2 linked regions of the Medicago truncatula genome follow. The main gene of each other region encodes a partner of the protein of the gene in region 2 in a complex. Links are inferred from orthologs where the notes say so. Each region holds a gene or a part of one and is shown on either strand. Other genes may lie near its edges.

Region 1 (7,569 bases), on a different chromosome or scaffold from region 2:
CAGCATAATGTGCAGTTCTGGAGCTCCACTACCACTTGTTCCAAATTCAGCAGACCACCTGGATAAAATAGCAGCAAAGCCAGAAATATTGCTAAGAGGTACAAATAATTGCACATAAATACAAAAGCATGCAACTCACTTGTAAAAGGCTCCATACCACTTGAAAGAGACTTATTTAATTAAGTATCATTATATAATTCGTGTTATGAAGCATAAATACACAAAAGCACACTGTAATTCCAACAAAAGTTACAAAGCCTAAATTGAAATTCTACATGCTTGGAGATTCTATTCTAGAACACATGCTGTGTTATAGATATCAAAAGGATCTTTCTATAGCTTTTATGTGAACTGACTCTGTATTTTTTTTTATGAAGGGTCCGCTTAACAAGACAACCTTATGATTTTACAAAAATTATGTCAGCGATCTTTCTATAGCTTTTATGTGAACTGAACTCTATTTTTTTAAGGGTCGGCTTAACAAGACAACCTTATGATTTTATAAAAATTATGTCAGCCATATGTCTTGATAGCCATACAACACTCAACAAACGAGGGTGCAGTAAAAGCAAAGTATAATCTATTTTCACATTCACTTGCATGGAAAAGAGAGGGGATCAGTAAAAGTAAAGTATAATCTATAATATTTTAATTTTTGAGAAGTCTCACTTGATAGCAGCTTTTAAGAACGAGGAGCAGCCCTCAACACGTGTTTTTGCACTTCCAAGGTTTTCTGAAAGTTGCTGCATGTCATCAACATCCCAAAGGTGTTGTGGTAATGGAACCCGAGGAAACCCTTCATAGATTTTTTTTAGACGATCTGCCATTAAAATTTATTGTAGTTAGTAACAAGCATGAATGTTCTGTGACCAAATATTATATAATCTAAATAAGATTAGAAAAAATATATTACTGAAGAATAAATATAATAAAAGCAAATACATGTAAATCACCAAATTAAAAATCTCATGGGATTAAACTCATGAGTTAAAACAAAATATAATAAAAGCAAGTGTTCTAAACTGACCATAGGACAAAAAGAAAATAACTTACATTGCATCACAGGCTCAAAAAATAAACTACTGATAAATAATTGAAGGGTAAAAGAAAGGATAAGAACGCACCAAGAGTTCCATCATCATAAGGAATTTTCCCTTTTACTAATGTCTCCACAAACAATAAAGCAAGCTCTGCTCCACAGGTAACCTTAGATAAATAGAAGATAAAACTTAAACTTTTTTGTTTGTCAATTGTTAAAACTATTTGCATATATTCTTATCATAAAGTTAAAAATTAAAACTAAATGTAAATTTGGATAGAAATGTCAAAAGGATTCAGGATCCTCCATCTGTGCCTTTCCTTTCTCTCTTGATCACTTCTTCATTCATTTAGTTTTCCTAAAAGCAAGTAACTTTTAGCAGCCTATGTTTTCAGGTCACTTCTTCATTCATTTAGTTTTCCTAAAAGCAAGTAACTTTTAGCAGCCTATGTTTTCAGGTGTCCCAAAAATGTAGCAAATATCTTTGTCCATCCAAGTCATAAGGCAACAATGAAAAAGCTAATAATTTCTCATACGTGGCTAATAAAGATCATAAAGTTGATTAAAGTATATCTCAAAAGAAAACAAAATAGAAAGTAGTAGAACCTGCCCATGAGCCAATTGAATGCATGCTCCTGAATGTAGGATATCTAATGCTTCAGTGTACCTCTGAGCAGTTACATATCTGCAGAAAAACGTGTACGCACATCAGTTTCTACTCTCTGTAACTCAATTGATCAGTATGTATTAGTTGATTCAGTTGTCAACCAAAATAATAAAGCTTGACTTTAACAAGCACCCTCTAATTACACAACACTCCAATTATAAGCACCAAATAACGGCTCCTTCTACCATGCATAAATTGCATAGGTCTTGTACTGTGCAAGACCTTTTTAAACTCCTTGATAAAAAAAAGTAAAAAAACTCCACCAAAATTAATGATATACCCTCTATACCTATTAGAGATGTAACATTAGTTACATATTAGTTAGATTAGTTAGAAGTTAGTTGGTTTAATTAACTGTATACGCTTTAATGTACTACTTGATGCAACAATTCAATCATAAACAATATTATTTCCATTTCACTTTTCTATACTTTTCTCTCAATTATGAGTTCTATCAAGAATTGTAATATCTTTCCTCTCTCCCCTTTGGCACTGTTTCAATTTATCTCTTCCGCCGTTTCCTTCCTCCACCTCCACATCAAACCCTTCATCTTCTAATACATCACAGAAACAAAATTATGCTTTGGAAGGTGCTTATAAATTATAATTATGGGGTACAATTTGACTTGTCGTCTTGGTGTGATTTATAAGAAAGGAATTACAGAAACTCGATGTTTCGAAACTAAAATTACATGGTTATGGCATTTACATCTATTGACTATTCCGTAGTTTTTGTTTTATTTGCTTTACTTAAAACATCAATATCTTTCTCAGCAACATGCATAACTTTTTTTATTTCAATGAACATAACCAATTGTTTTGAATGTGACTGTGTTGAATTCTTTGCTGCTCAGTCATAGCAAATAGTTCAACTCAATTTTGGTAATTGTGAGTATTACCTGTGAACTAGATAATATAGATACGGTAGCGGGTGTCATTTCAATGATCATCAAGGGTTGACGTGAGTATTACATGTGGACAGTGAATCGTAAAGGGGGTAGGGGTGATGGCAGCAGATTGGATGAATGGTGGGTCTTTGGTTGGAGGTGTAGTAGCTCTGGTTCTGTGACAGTAGTAGATGGTCACGACGGTTTCTGGGTTTTGGAGCGAAGGGGTATGCTATAGATGATCTAATATAACTGTAGTGGGAATAATATAAATCTACAGTTAAAAAAGTGAAGCTTGGTGCACAACCTAAACACCTCATGCACCCTAGAATTTGCCCCAAATAACAACATACGATGTATAAACGGCGAAGAACCCTGCATTTTTCACGCCTCCAAAAACTCTAAACCGGTTTATAAGAAAATACTCCAAAGTCCTAACATTGTCCATAAGGAAATACCTCCTATAACTCAGCATTCACCAAAGTTTCCAAAAGTTTACACTACATGAAACTGCACTGTCCAGCTCAAAAAAGAACATAAATATTACAAAAATCTAGGGTATATCTATTCTCTACATCAAATCTTTAGCATTGATTCTGTACCTGTCCTTCTGACTCTGACTGACCACCAATACAAACTACTATTGTTCACATTTAACTAATCTGCCACCCCAAATTTGTGACTTTTTTCCTGAGTTAATCTAATAAACTATGTACATGCAGATGAAAGGAAATAACTACGGAAAACTTAATTATTTACAATTTTATAATTTTCACATTGAAGATAAAATGAAGAGTACATAATAAAAATTTATGTTGAAGAATAGAGCTGTACAGCACGGTAGGGTCAGTACCCTTGGATTCTCGGAGCGCCTTTGCCCTTCAGCCTTGACACTTGGGGGGCTGTGTACAGTATTGTGGGATTTTTTTTTAATGGTATATGTTAGTAGTTTGTTGTTAGATTCCTTCGTCTGGGTTTTAACCCACGACCTCGAACTCCATTAACCTTTAGCTCAAACCAGTTGAGCTACCCAACCCCCATAGTATCGTGGGATCTCCCCAAAGCACAGGAATCAGGTTTTTACGATCGACCAAAGGAGCCCAAGTGCTTACCGAGCGAGCACATCACGGCCCTCCGGATGTCTGCCCACATGACGGCACCCGCCAAAAGCTCTAGGAGGGAGCACTATAAAAGGAGGTCATAGTCCCTAGGGTAGGAATTCCATTCTTTCTTCAACGCACTTACACGAAAATCCTTTGGCACCACTCCCTCATTCTTTCTAGAACAAAAACACATAACATAAACTTGGTAAAAAGTAACAACAAGAAATTGTTCAAACCTGGCACTAATGGATTTATACATCTGTTGAGCTCCATAACAATTTCCATCTTTCACAACTTTCTCCAATTTTTCAACATTCTGCAATTCACACCATATTTAATCAAAAACCTCAACAACAACAACAATAACAGCAATAACAAAACCCAGAAATAAAAACAATAATGAAAACACATAAAGCATAACCCACAAAATTAATTTTCAATCAATGCACCAAAAACCACATCGAAAATAAATAAAAATCAATTTTTTAATTAAAAAGAGTAATTTTTTAACGAATGTGAATAAAGAAGAAACAAAATTAATGGATATTCGATTTTGGGTACCTCATCAGCGGGTGGAAGTTCGAATCTTTTGGATCTCTGCCGCGCCATGGTGATGAAATTTCTCTCCGTGGAGGATTTTGCAAAAGAGGGAAGAATAAAAGGGGAAAAGAAAAAAAGAAAATTATCTTATTTATAGAAGGACTTCTGTGAGAATTTTCAATTTCTTCGGGGACTAAATTGGAAATTTAAAAACATTGGCAATAAAAGCAACGATTTTTAGAGTTTTGTTGAGATTGAGATTGAGAGGGATAAGGATTTTGTAGAATTTAAGGAAGATGAGTAGCAAAGTGTTGTTACTCAGAGGAACACCATTATCGTTATCATTGTCGAATTCGAAAATCCAACACAAGTTGTTACAGTTTCGTAGGTTGTCTTCAAAAACAAATTGTTCCTCTCTAGAACCTCCAAATGTGTCTCATTTGGCAAAAACAGCTCACATCTCTCTTACCCCAACTGAGGTTTTTTTTTTCTTTCAAATTAGAAATATTCTTTTTTAAAATTTCTAATAGTAATAATGATTTATGTTATTTCAGGTTGAAGAATTTGGTCCTAAAATTCAGCAGGTGATAGGCTGGTAAGTAAAATAAAAACTCTTATTTTATTTGGCTATTTTTATAGTAATTTGATAGGATAATTGAGGAACAATTGAATCACAAAGATGTACCAACACTGGATTCTCAGTGTTAGCCCACCACCTGTTTGTTAAAATACCCCTTCCACCCACCTTTTATTCCAACACCATTTTCTGCATTATGGTAAGATTCATACATCCATAATTGAACTAGAATAAGTAACAATGATTTATGTGGATAATACTTTAATTACCCTTTACTCTATGTTGAAGCCTAATGTTTGCCTTAGTTACGTGGGACAGTATGGCCACAATGTGAAGTGGATATTGTTGGGGTATACGGTGGAGTCTGCTACAGGGATTTTAGAGGTCTCAAAGGGTTATTCTAGTCTTAGAAAAGTTGAAACGAGGGAATGTTATTGTTTTTGCAAACATGTTTATGCACTGACCATTGTTTCAACATAATTCAATCTTTTACGGGGGTTATTGGAAGAAATTCGACAACCTTGAGGTAGATAGTGATGTCATTCATGTTGTTTGGGTCCAATGTTTGTTAGCATGGATGTTTCATTAATGGAAAACAAACTAAATTGAAAGTGTATTTTGTACGACGTTGGATATCGTGTTGCGTTTTGTTTGTCGAAATATGACAGCTCGTGAGGCTTAACATTTTGTTTCTAAAGGTACCAAAACTTCAAATTTAGATTGACTTGTCTGTCAGGTTTGGACAACTGCAGGGTGTTGATCTCCAAAGCGTTGAGCCCTCCATAAGAGCAGGTGCTCTCAAAACCAATATTCTAATTTCCATTTATTAATCATTTCATATCCTTGTTTTGGATTTTCTCTAATGTTTGTTTGCATACATTTTCATGTGAGCAAACCTTAACTTTTGAAATACAAAAGAAAAAGTTATGTTATGTTTCCATGGAGATGGTTTCTTATGTTGTTAAATTCTGTTGTATGTTAGTTGTTCATGGTTTGGTTCAGGTAGAAGTAGAAAACCAAACGAAACTGAACCAGAAAAGTATGAACTGAACTAATTATATATTATTTATTAACTCAACGTGATTGTGTCAGAACTTGAAACATCCTTTGTTTAGCATGTGGCAATTTCGGTAGCTTTTTCATCATTGAAATAAAAAATGGACAAGACCTTTCAACCATATGATTTTTCTAGTGACTAAGATGAAAATAAAATAGGCAAAAGATGAAAATAAAAAAAACAGTCTTCAAGATATACAATATATAGTTTATTAACTCATACACGTTGGTGTAGCTTATTAAATTATGAACAAAACAAACTATAAACAATTAACTTGCATTTACGATTCATTCATTCTGAACAAATAACTAAAACTAAAGAACAGTGCAGTCAAAAATCTGAAAACTATGTTGTTTATGGGTTTTTCATTTTTTGCCATGTTTGAGGCACCACAGGTTTGTGAAATTACAGATTTAGAATTTATTGTTCTTATAAATTATGATGTTTTTATTTAGGTTTCAGATGTTTCTTAGAGTGGAAATGATAAGAATTGACCTTTGTAGCATGTCAGTAATTCAGCAATCTAAGATTGTTTTATCTAGGATATAAGCTTTAGACCATATGTGAAAGCATAACTGAGAGTCTAGTTCACAAATTGTCAATCACTGCTCGATTTGTGAACTATGGTGCAAATTGTTCTTTCTGGTGCAGTTTGGTTAGCGAACTGTGTTTAAAATACCAGTTCAGTCTGTGCTGAACTGTACAAAATGGTTCAGTTTTTATAGCGCAAATTCGGTTTAGTTCAGTAGTTCGGTTCAGATCTTGGGGTTTTAACAGCCCTGGTTATGAGTCGGTAGGCTGTAGCCTTCATTCATGAACTGAAAACACATGGTTTGTATCTATTTTGTATTCACAGAGAAATGTCGGTGCTATTGCTGTCTTACACAAATAGGAAATCAATACTTTATTAAATGTTCCATATTATTTGCTTTCTTCTCATTGCTTTCCTATACTTCACTTGGTCGTGCAAGTTTGTTTGAATATATTTTATATTTTATACAGTGGAGCATTTTGGTTTTTTTTTTTTTTTTGACAAAGGAGCAAATTTTCTAGGGTGCTCGAATTTCCACTTTATTTTATCATAAACAAAATGAAGAGGGTAGATGAGTATCATGCCCTACAATAAGTTTCCATCATTTAATATATTAAGTGATTCTCTCTTGACATGCCTCTGCACCTGATTTTAATTCCTTTAACGTTTTTTAAATGAGTGGTAGAAAACATTTGTTGCTTGTTGGCTTGGCTTTATGTGTTTAGTTTCTAATTTTTTTAATGTTATCTGCAGATACTGAAAACAATTTGCGTGACAATACTCCTGAAACATTTGATCAACGGTGAGTTGTTTATTCATTATTTGTAAATTGGGCATATTGCATAGCCGACTGACGGTGCCTGATAGATTGCTATATCCTTGACAGGGATGCCATCCTCGCTTCCATTCCAACCTATGAGGAGCCCTACATTAAAGTTCCAAAAGTCCTAAATGTGGACTAGAGTTTCTTATTTGAGTTATTTTGCTTAAAAGAAACTCATGAAGACTATTGCCTTGTACCTTGAATTTCTTGGTTTTTTATATGAAACCATCTCTTATTTTGAATTTTCATGATGGAAATCGTCATGGACACTGTACTTAGACAAACTTTGAAATCTTCATCATCATAATTTGACAATTATTTAACGTGCTTGATAATGTATTTGT
Region 2 (7,828 bases):
ATGATCCTCCTGGCACCCTAGAAACATCCCACGGGTTGGCAGTCACCTATTGAATGAACATATGCATCACCTGAGTAAACATATCTCAGTTATAAATAGGCGTACAAGTAATAAAGCTACAAACAGAACTCTATCAAAGCTTAGCCAACCCACCCACAGACGGAGAAAAAACAACACAGCCCCACTATTTGTATGTTTTGTAATGACAAAAATACAAATTTAGCAATGCATCACATTATGGGTCCATCAGGTCATTCATCAACAATTTCACCTGACTCAGATCCTCTGCAATCTCTCTAAATCTAAATAAAATGGTCTCTATAGCTGCTGCCCCATAAAGCAACTGTAGGACATCCGATTTTCAATTTTCATTCTTCTCATTTTCTCTCCAAACAAATGCTGGAACCCATGCTCACAAACTTAATTCAATTGTTAAACACAAGATAACTGAATCAAGTAACCACATAATGTCACCACTCAAACCATCTCACATTTACTTCTAATATTACAAACTGGGCATTTGAAATTTGAGAGGGGACGTTCTTAGATGCACCTAGCATACGACACTATTCTTTTATCACACCGCTCAACATGACTGACATCAGCCAAGTGGATCATCAAACATCATGATTCCTCACCAACACTAACCCCACACTAATGTATCTAAAAATCTCTCATATTAAAATCATCAACAATTATAAAATATATATCTAAAAGTTCAAAAAACAAGGGTAGCATACAAACTAAATTGTAATTCAGCTTAAATGCCCACCCAAACTGGAAAACAAAAACATGTTGATCTTCAAAATCAACAGAACAAACAAACAACTACCGAATAAAAAAAAAACAAACACAAATGCACTACAACACAAAGCAACAAAAAAAAATGAAATGGATTTAATAAGCCACCAAACTAGTCTCAGACTTTGTATGGCGCTCTCAAATAGGTCCCTGACATTATATATATTTGAAAAAATCATTGACTCTATTAAACTTTCAAATTGAGCCCTTTATCTGACCACTTAATATCAATTAGGTCCCTATATTTTAACAACTTACAGGAGTAAGTACGTTATATGTGCTTAAGCTTCTGTTAGTTCAAATCTAGTTATTGCCCTAAATGTATCTAACAATATGTATTGTTTTAGGTTAAATGTAAGGTAATGTTGACTGTAGGGTGACATTCTCAATATGTATTGTTTTAGGTTAGTACATGGCACATGAATGGAAGTTGTGAAATATAGAAACACTGGTTTATACCAAAAAATCTTAAAACCAAACTTTCAACCCATATTCGAAATACATTATTTCAAAATTGGCTTTAAAATCTATACAAGTTTTTGGCTGCATGAGTTTCATTCATGAACTTAGCATCAAATTTCCATGGATAAAACAATTCACATTGCAGTTGTTCCAGGTGTTGGGTATGGACACTTAGTCCCTATTCTTCAATTCTCAAAGTTACTTATCCATCTTCATCCAGACATTCATGCCACATGTATCATTCGCACACTTGGTTCTCCCCCAAGTTCCTCAGAACCCATCCTTCAAACTCTTCCATCAAATATCAACCACATGTTTCTTCCACCGGTTCAACCTGATGACCTACCTCAAGGACTGCCTTGGAAATCCAAATTCAGCTCACAGTTACTAATTCTCTCCCATATTTACATGAGGCATTGAAGACTCTTGCTTTATGGACTCCCCTTGTGGCCTTGGTGGTTCATGCTTTTGCTGTCGAAGCACTAAACTATGCTAAAGAATTCAACATGTTATCCTATATATACTTCTGTGCAGCAGCTAGTACACTGGCTTGGAGCTTCTATTTGCCTAAGTTGGATGAGGAAACAACATGTGAGTACAGAAATCTACCAGAGCCTAAGTTGGATGAGGAAACACCACTTACTATCAATTTGTTCCCTACATTTAACAACTCACTATCAATTTAGTCCCTAACTAACATACTCAGAAGATATAATATGAGTAAAATTTAACAGAGTCACGAACCTTTTTTCAAACACTCATAATTTGACACTATAGTCCCTAAAGTTATTGAAATTGCAAACACATCCCTAGCACCTAATTTAACAGTAATTTTAAGGACAAAATTAACCAAGGAAAAACACATTCAAAGATTAAATTGACAACCTAAAAACAGATTTGAGGACTAAAATGACTAATAAAAAATGCTCTTGTGGATGTGTTTGAAATATCGATACCTTCAGAAACCAATATGACAGCAAGTTATACTTTCAAGGACCTAAATTGAGGTGTGCCAAACAAAACAAAAAAACTAACCTCAGATTAACATTAACACGGTCAAAGAACTTGAGAATAATATTCACTTTAAAATTTAAATTATGGTAAAAAGTTTCAAATAAGGTATATGAATAAACTTAAAAAAAAAAAAAAAAAAAAAAAAAAAAAAAAAAAACAACTTGAAATTGAACATATATATATAAAGAATATATAAAGAGAGTGTTAGAACCTGAAATGCAGAAGCTTCAGTGGTACTTCCCATACCAAACTCATCCATATTCGTCTTCCCAACAACAATCCCACCCAACTCCTTAACTCTCTTCACCGCCGTCGCATCAAACGGCGGCCGATAACCATCAAGTATCCTCGACCCACCAGTCGACGGCATGTCAGCCGTACAAATATTATCCTTAACAGCAACAAGAACACCAGCAAGAGGACCAACTTCCTCCCCCGCAGCGATTCTGCGGTCGAGGTCATGTGCCTGATCGAGGAGGGATTGGTCGGAAGGGAGGTGGAGGAAGGAACGGAGGTGGGGTTCGGTGAGACGGATGCGGGTGAGGTGGGATTGGATGAGGTCGGTGGCGGAGAGGGTGTTGGTGAGAAGGGAGTGGCGGAGGGTGAGGATTTGAGAGGGGGGTGCAGTGGTAGGTTGGGGGTGTGTGAGAATAGCTTGAGTGGTGATTGTGGATGATGGAAGGGAGAAGCGTGAGAGAGTGGAACGTGGGGTTTGGAGTGTGGATAGCATTTTCATTTTCACTTTAGAGTGAGTGTGAATGAATGTGAGAGAAAAGAAGATATAACGATCCTAGCTCAACTTTCTCTCCAAACAAGTATGAAGTTATCGTACTGTAGAAAAATCCTAGTTTAAGTGGTGTGCGTTAAAACCGGTTCACATGAACCATACCCACAACACTGGTTTTTTTTTTTAAGAGAACCACAACCCTGGTTACCTTTTATGAAAACCGGTTTTCGTCCAAATTCAATTTACTCAAAACAGTTGGTTATGAATTGTTATGTTAATCCTTTTGTGCTTCCTATGGAAAGTTTTTCTTTTAGAGTAACTCTCAGTTTCTTCCAGAGAAAGTCAATGCAGAGAAATGGAGTGGGACGAGAGAGGAAATTGAAAATGTTGAATAGAGGGTTAGGGAGATTTAGAGTGTTTGATTCTTATTTTGTTGAATTTTGATTGAATTGGAGAAGAGAATTGTATTGATGTTTATAATCCATTGAAGAATTGAAATGGTGATGGAAGAAATTAGGATTAAAACCAGTTTTCTTACAAATCAGGTCTAAATCGGTTCTGACCAAAATCGAAACTTATTTTTGCTAAAAAAACAGTTTTCATGAAATGGGTTTACTAACTGAACCGAACCATATATTTCATGAAACTCCAATATTTTTTGAGAAATGCTAAGGACACACTCTTTTAACACCCTCCAATGACATGAGGCCACATCACCTCCATTTTTTATTCTTTTACTTGTTAATCTGTTCTACAGGTTGAGAAATAACAACGCTTTTTATTTTATTTTTTCTTTAACTTAAACTCTGACTTCATCTTCTCCGAGACTCCCTTGCTCTCTACAGAGGAAAATTCTACAATTCTTATAAAGGTGGATCTGCCATGGGTATTCTGTTCATGATTTTTATAAGCATCGGATTCATACAAACAATTTTTTTACTTTGGATCGATAACCTGATACGAGGGAGAGAGATTGTGGTTTGTATTGAACCTATAAACAAAGATACCCAAATCTGGCCTGTTTAATGGGAACCCTGTTATGAAGTTTAATTAGAAAGATTCGGGCTTTGATGTTTGAATTGAAGAAAGATTGTGGGGATTGAAATTTGATGAAAAAAGATTGTGGAAATTGAAGTTCGAAACATGAATTTTATCCAAAGTGAAAAAATTGTTTGTATGGATCATGTTTTCTATGGTGATGTTTTTAGGTTCCATTGTTTAATCCTGAACTTGAAGAGTCTGTTCTGGATGGGAGGTTGAAGCGCAGGAAGATGAAAATCTTTAATTACTATTTTTTAATTAAATCCAAATAATAATAAATAATAAGTAATAAATATAATGAAGGATGGTGGAAACCGGTTGCAAGTCAAGGTGTTAAAAAACTGGATGACATGGCAAATTGTGAGTGGAGTGTGTTAGAGGAGTGTGTTAGAGGGTATGACCCTAGCATTCCTCATATTTTTTTAGGGGTTGAAACACAAATCCTTGTAGGTTGTAACATCCGCTTTCTAGTCGTCAACTAGCAACAAACCTTTGCTAAGCACGGGCCCGTGTTCCGTACAGGGCTAATAAGAAGTAGAGGGTTATGTATTAAAACACATTGTAATGTTATATAAGTTGAGAAAATAAGAAGAGAAAGAAGAAAAAAAAAACTGCTGATAAAGTCCACAGTAATAATAAAAGGGCAGATTGCATTGAATTCCTTTGGGATTATTTTTTATAACACAAGTGCCCCTTCTAATTTTTCAAACGCATCATCTCCCCTCATTTTATCCATTTCAATAACTTTGTATACATACAATTTAAGGTCGGTCATTTTGATTTTTTTGTATCTGTTTTCTCTTTTGACAATTAAGTTAAATGAGGTTTTTTTTTCACAATAAAGAAAAACAATAACAACATTTGTTTTTACCATCAAATACAACAAAACATCGGCAATTACAGAAGAGATCAAAAGAGAATATGGAAATGAGAAGAATTTTGGTGGATGGACATTGTGGTTGATCAATGAAAAGGAAATAATTTTCGATATACTCGTTTTATTACATTAGAGTTTGAAAATTAAACAACCTTGACTGAGAAACAATAATTTGGAAAAAAAATCACCTAAATGAAAAATAGAAGAAAAAAATAGTCAAAAATTAAGTTAGACCAAACTCGTATGAAGAAGTTAATTGCTAAAAAAAATGGAATTGACAATTTAAACCTTATATTATAAGGGAAGTGCTTGTCAATTTGTTAAAAAAAAAAATAAGGAAGATTAGTGTTTAGTTATAAAATAGAGCGGATATTTGTGTTATTTAAGAAGACCTTAAAGAAGGTTGGTGTAATAAGCCCTTTTTTTTAAGACTAATTTTCCCATGATAAAGTCATTGAAATTTTTGTTATTAAATATTATGAAGTGGTGTCATTATTGATAAAGAAAAAACATAATAAAAAAAACATGATAAAAATATTAAAAATAATAAAGATTTCATTATTAATAAAGATGTCGTTATGAGTCACGTGTATGAACTGTACAACTATATTATTTAAAGACTTATTTATCATTTTTTTACTGTGTTTTTTATAGTCATATTTCTGAAAGATATAATAATTAATAATCTACAACAATATAAATATTATTTATAATATGACATGGTGGTCTGACTTCTTTGATTCTCTGTTGTTTCTAAATATGTTGAAATCTGCAGGTTTCAAGGCGTCTTGTTTGCATACACTCTAGTTCTTCAAACTCGAAAGAGTTTTTATGCTTGCTAATTTGTTCAACTATCTGTTGGAACTTGGATTTTGATATCATGCTAACGGTCGATCCATTATTATTTTGTTTGAAAAAGGTCGATCTATTAATTGTTCTTCGCAGATGTTCACTTTTCATACTTTTTTTGTAAGTTCGTTTCACATCCATATACCGGTTCGCTTGGTTGAGCCCGTGATTAGTGAATTTTTTTAGGATAGATTAGGGTTGATCTACTCGGTCTGATTTATTATGTTCTATCCCTGTTTTGGGCTATATCTGAGTCAGATCTAATGCCTGTGATAAGTGAATATTTTTTTAGATTAAATATGTAAACAATTGTCATTTTTTTTCATTGGATTACCTACAAAAGAAAAACTGATACGAAGGTAGTTCTATTACATCCTAAAATAATCATATGAACATCATAAACTAAATAAGATCTAAACATGTTGAGGAGTCAAAATATTAAGATGGGGCAAAATTGAGTTTTTATTTGTCATTAACTTTCATAATTAGCGAAAGATAAAATAGATTGTAAATATCCCCGTGAGTTTAGCTCAGTTGGTAGGGATATTGCATATTATATGCAGGAGCCGGGGTTCGAACCCCGGACACTCCACTTCTCCACAATTAAATTGTGTGAGCTCTAGCCACTAGGCTACTTGACCAAAAAAAAAAAAAAATAGATTGTAAATTATTTTTAACTCTTTAGATATTTAGAAGTTGAATTATATGAAAATTTGTTTTGATTGAGATTAAGTTTGTTTGTTCTTTAAAAAAAATCTTATGTTAGTGTGTTTTATCAAGCGAGTTCGTTTTAATTTGTTTTTAAGATAGAAAAAATTGAGGGAGATTGAAGAAAAAATACAAAAGGATATACTTTTGACAACGTGTCAAAAAATTAGGGAGGGGTAGGATTGTATTTTTGGTAGACATTAAGTTTCATAATTAGATAATAGAATTAGAGAAAAATAAAATATATTTTAAATTATTTTTAACTCCTTAGATATTTAGAAGTTAAATTTTAGTAAAATTTGTTTGTTCTTTAATAAAAGATTTTAATTTGTTTTTAAGAGAGAAAAAATAGGGGGAAGTTGAAGTAAAAGACACAAAATGATATAATTTTGATGACGTGTCAAAAAATTAATAAGGAGCTAGATTGTGTTTTTGGTAGACATTAAATTTCATAATTAGATAGTAGTAATAGATAATTTAAATTGTTTAGGTACAACAATATAAAAGAAATTTTATGTTGCCAAATCACATAAATTTTTTGAAAGTTATTTTCCCTCTCATTTAAATAGGATTTTTGTTAAAAAAAAAAAACACAAAAGGGTAAATATATGTTGAGGTGTCAAAAAGATTTAGATGGGGAAAAATTGTGTTTTTGTTGGTCATTTAATTTCCGTAGTTATATTACTTCCGTAGTTTTTTTTTAAGGATTTACTTCCGTAGTTATATCTATACTATATATTTATACTATATATAAAGAAAACTAACCATTTCGGCACTTTTGGGTTTTTGCAACAAAAAGAAAAAAAAACACTTCTTGGCTGGATTTTTCTTTCCAAAAATACTCTTAATTTTTAATACAAATAACACATACAACAAATAGATAAGTTGTATGTTACTTGTCCATTAGGTTACAACAAATATATATATATATATATATATATATATATATGGGGTTGTTAACTTACACCCATCTAAAAACACTAAGCTGCAAATTAGCAAATTACACCACCTAAAATTATTAAGATGCATGTTAGCAACCTACACCCACTTAATTATTTACACTCATTTTTAAAATATTTATAAGGTGCAAGTTAGCAAACTTAACTAATTTACACCCGCCTTAAAAGCTTGTGTCTCACATGATACTATTACATGTTTTTTTTCTAATTAAAAAAAACAACAAAAATTTCATTAAATATTTGATTTCCAAATTCATACTATCATTCACACTAGAACAACAATTCAACAACATGATTTAATTCATCAGAAACACTTAAATATACTTCTGCAAGAGGAGTTTGAAGCAAGAGGTAGTGGTTATTATTTATTAAAGTCATAAACATTAAGGC

Evidence for each region. Proteins that work in one complex are often made in the same cells at the same time.
Region 1: glutamyl-tRNA(Gln) amidotransferase subunit A, chloroplastic/mitochondrial (region 2) and glutamyl-tRNA(Gln) amidotransferase subunit C, chloroplastic/mitochondrial share a complex: the UniProt entries of both Arabidopsis thaliana proteins name them as parts of the heterotrimeric GatCAB amidotransferase (AdT) complex. The link is inferred for Medicago truncatula from reciprocal best matches to the Arabidopsis thaliana genes AT3G25660 and AT4G32915.

Annotation. Positions count from the first base shown.
Region 1 is NC_053042.1:46,835,752-46,843,320, forward strand, and holds the start of glutamyl-tRNA(Gln) amidotransferase subunit C, chloroplastic/mitochondrial, read left to right. Parts: upstream 1-4,497; 5' UTR 4,498-4,532; coding exon 4,533-4,715; intron 4,716-4,790; coding exon 4,791-4,831; intron 4,832-5,549; coding exon 5,550-5,605; intron 5,606-7,155; coding exon 7,156-7,204; intron 7,205-7,288; coding exon 7,289-7,364; 3' UTR 7,365-7,569. Other genes in the region: protein GET4, read right to left, coding at 1-58, 670-820, 1,125-1,206, 1,646-1,724, 3,933-4,012, 4,258-4,305. UniProt on the Arabidopsis thaliana protein: Allows the formation of correctly charged Gln-tRNA(Gln) through the transamidation of misacylated Glu-tRNA(Gln) in chloroplasts and mitochondria. The reaction takes place in the presence of glutamine and ATP through an activated gamma-phospho-Glu-tRNA(Gln).
Region 2 is NC_053044.1:22,450,551-22,458,378, forward strand, and holds the start of glutamyl-tRNA(Gln) amidotransferase subunit A, chloroplastic/mitochondrial, read right to left. Parts: upstream 3,090-7,828; 5' UTR 3,014-3,089; coding exon 2,489-3,013; intron 47-2,488; coding exon 1-46. UniProt on the Arabidopsis thaliana protein: Allows the formation of correctly charged Gln-tRNA(Gln) through the transamidation of misacylated Glu-tRNA(Gln) in chloroplasts and mitochondria. The reaction takes place in the presence of glutamine and ATP through an activated gamma-phospho-Glu-tRNA(Gln).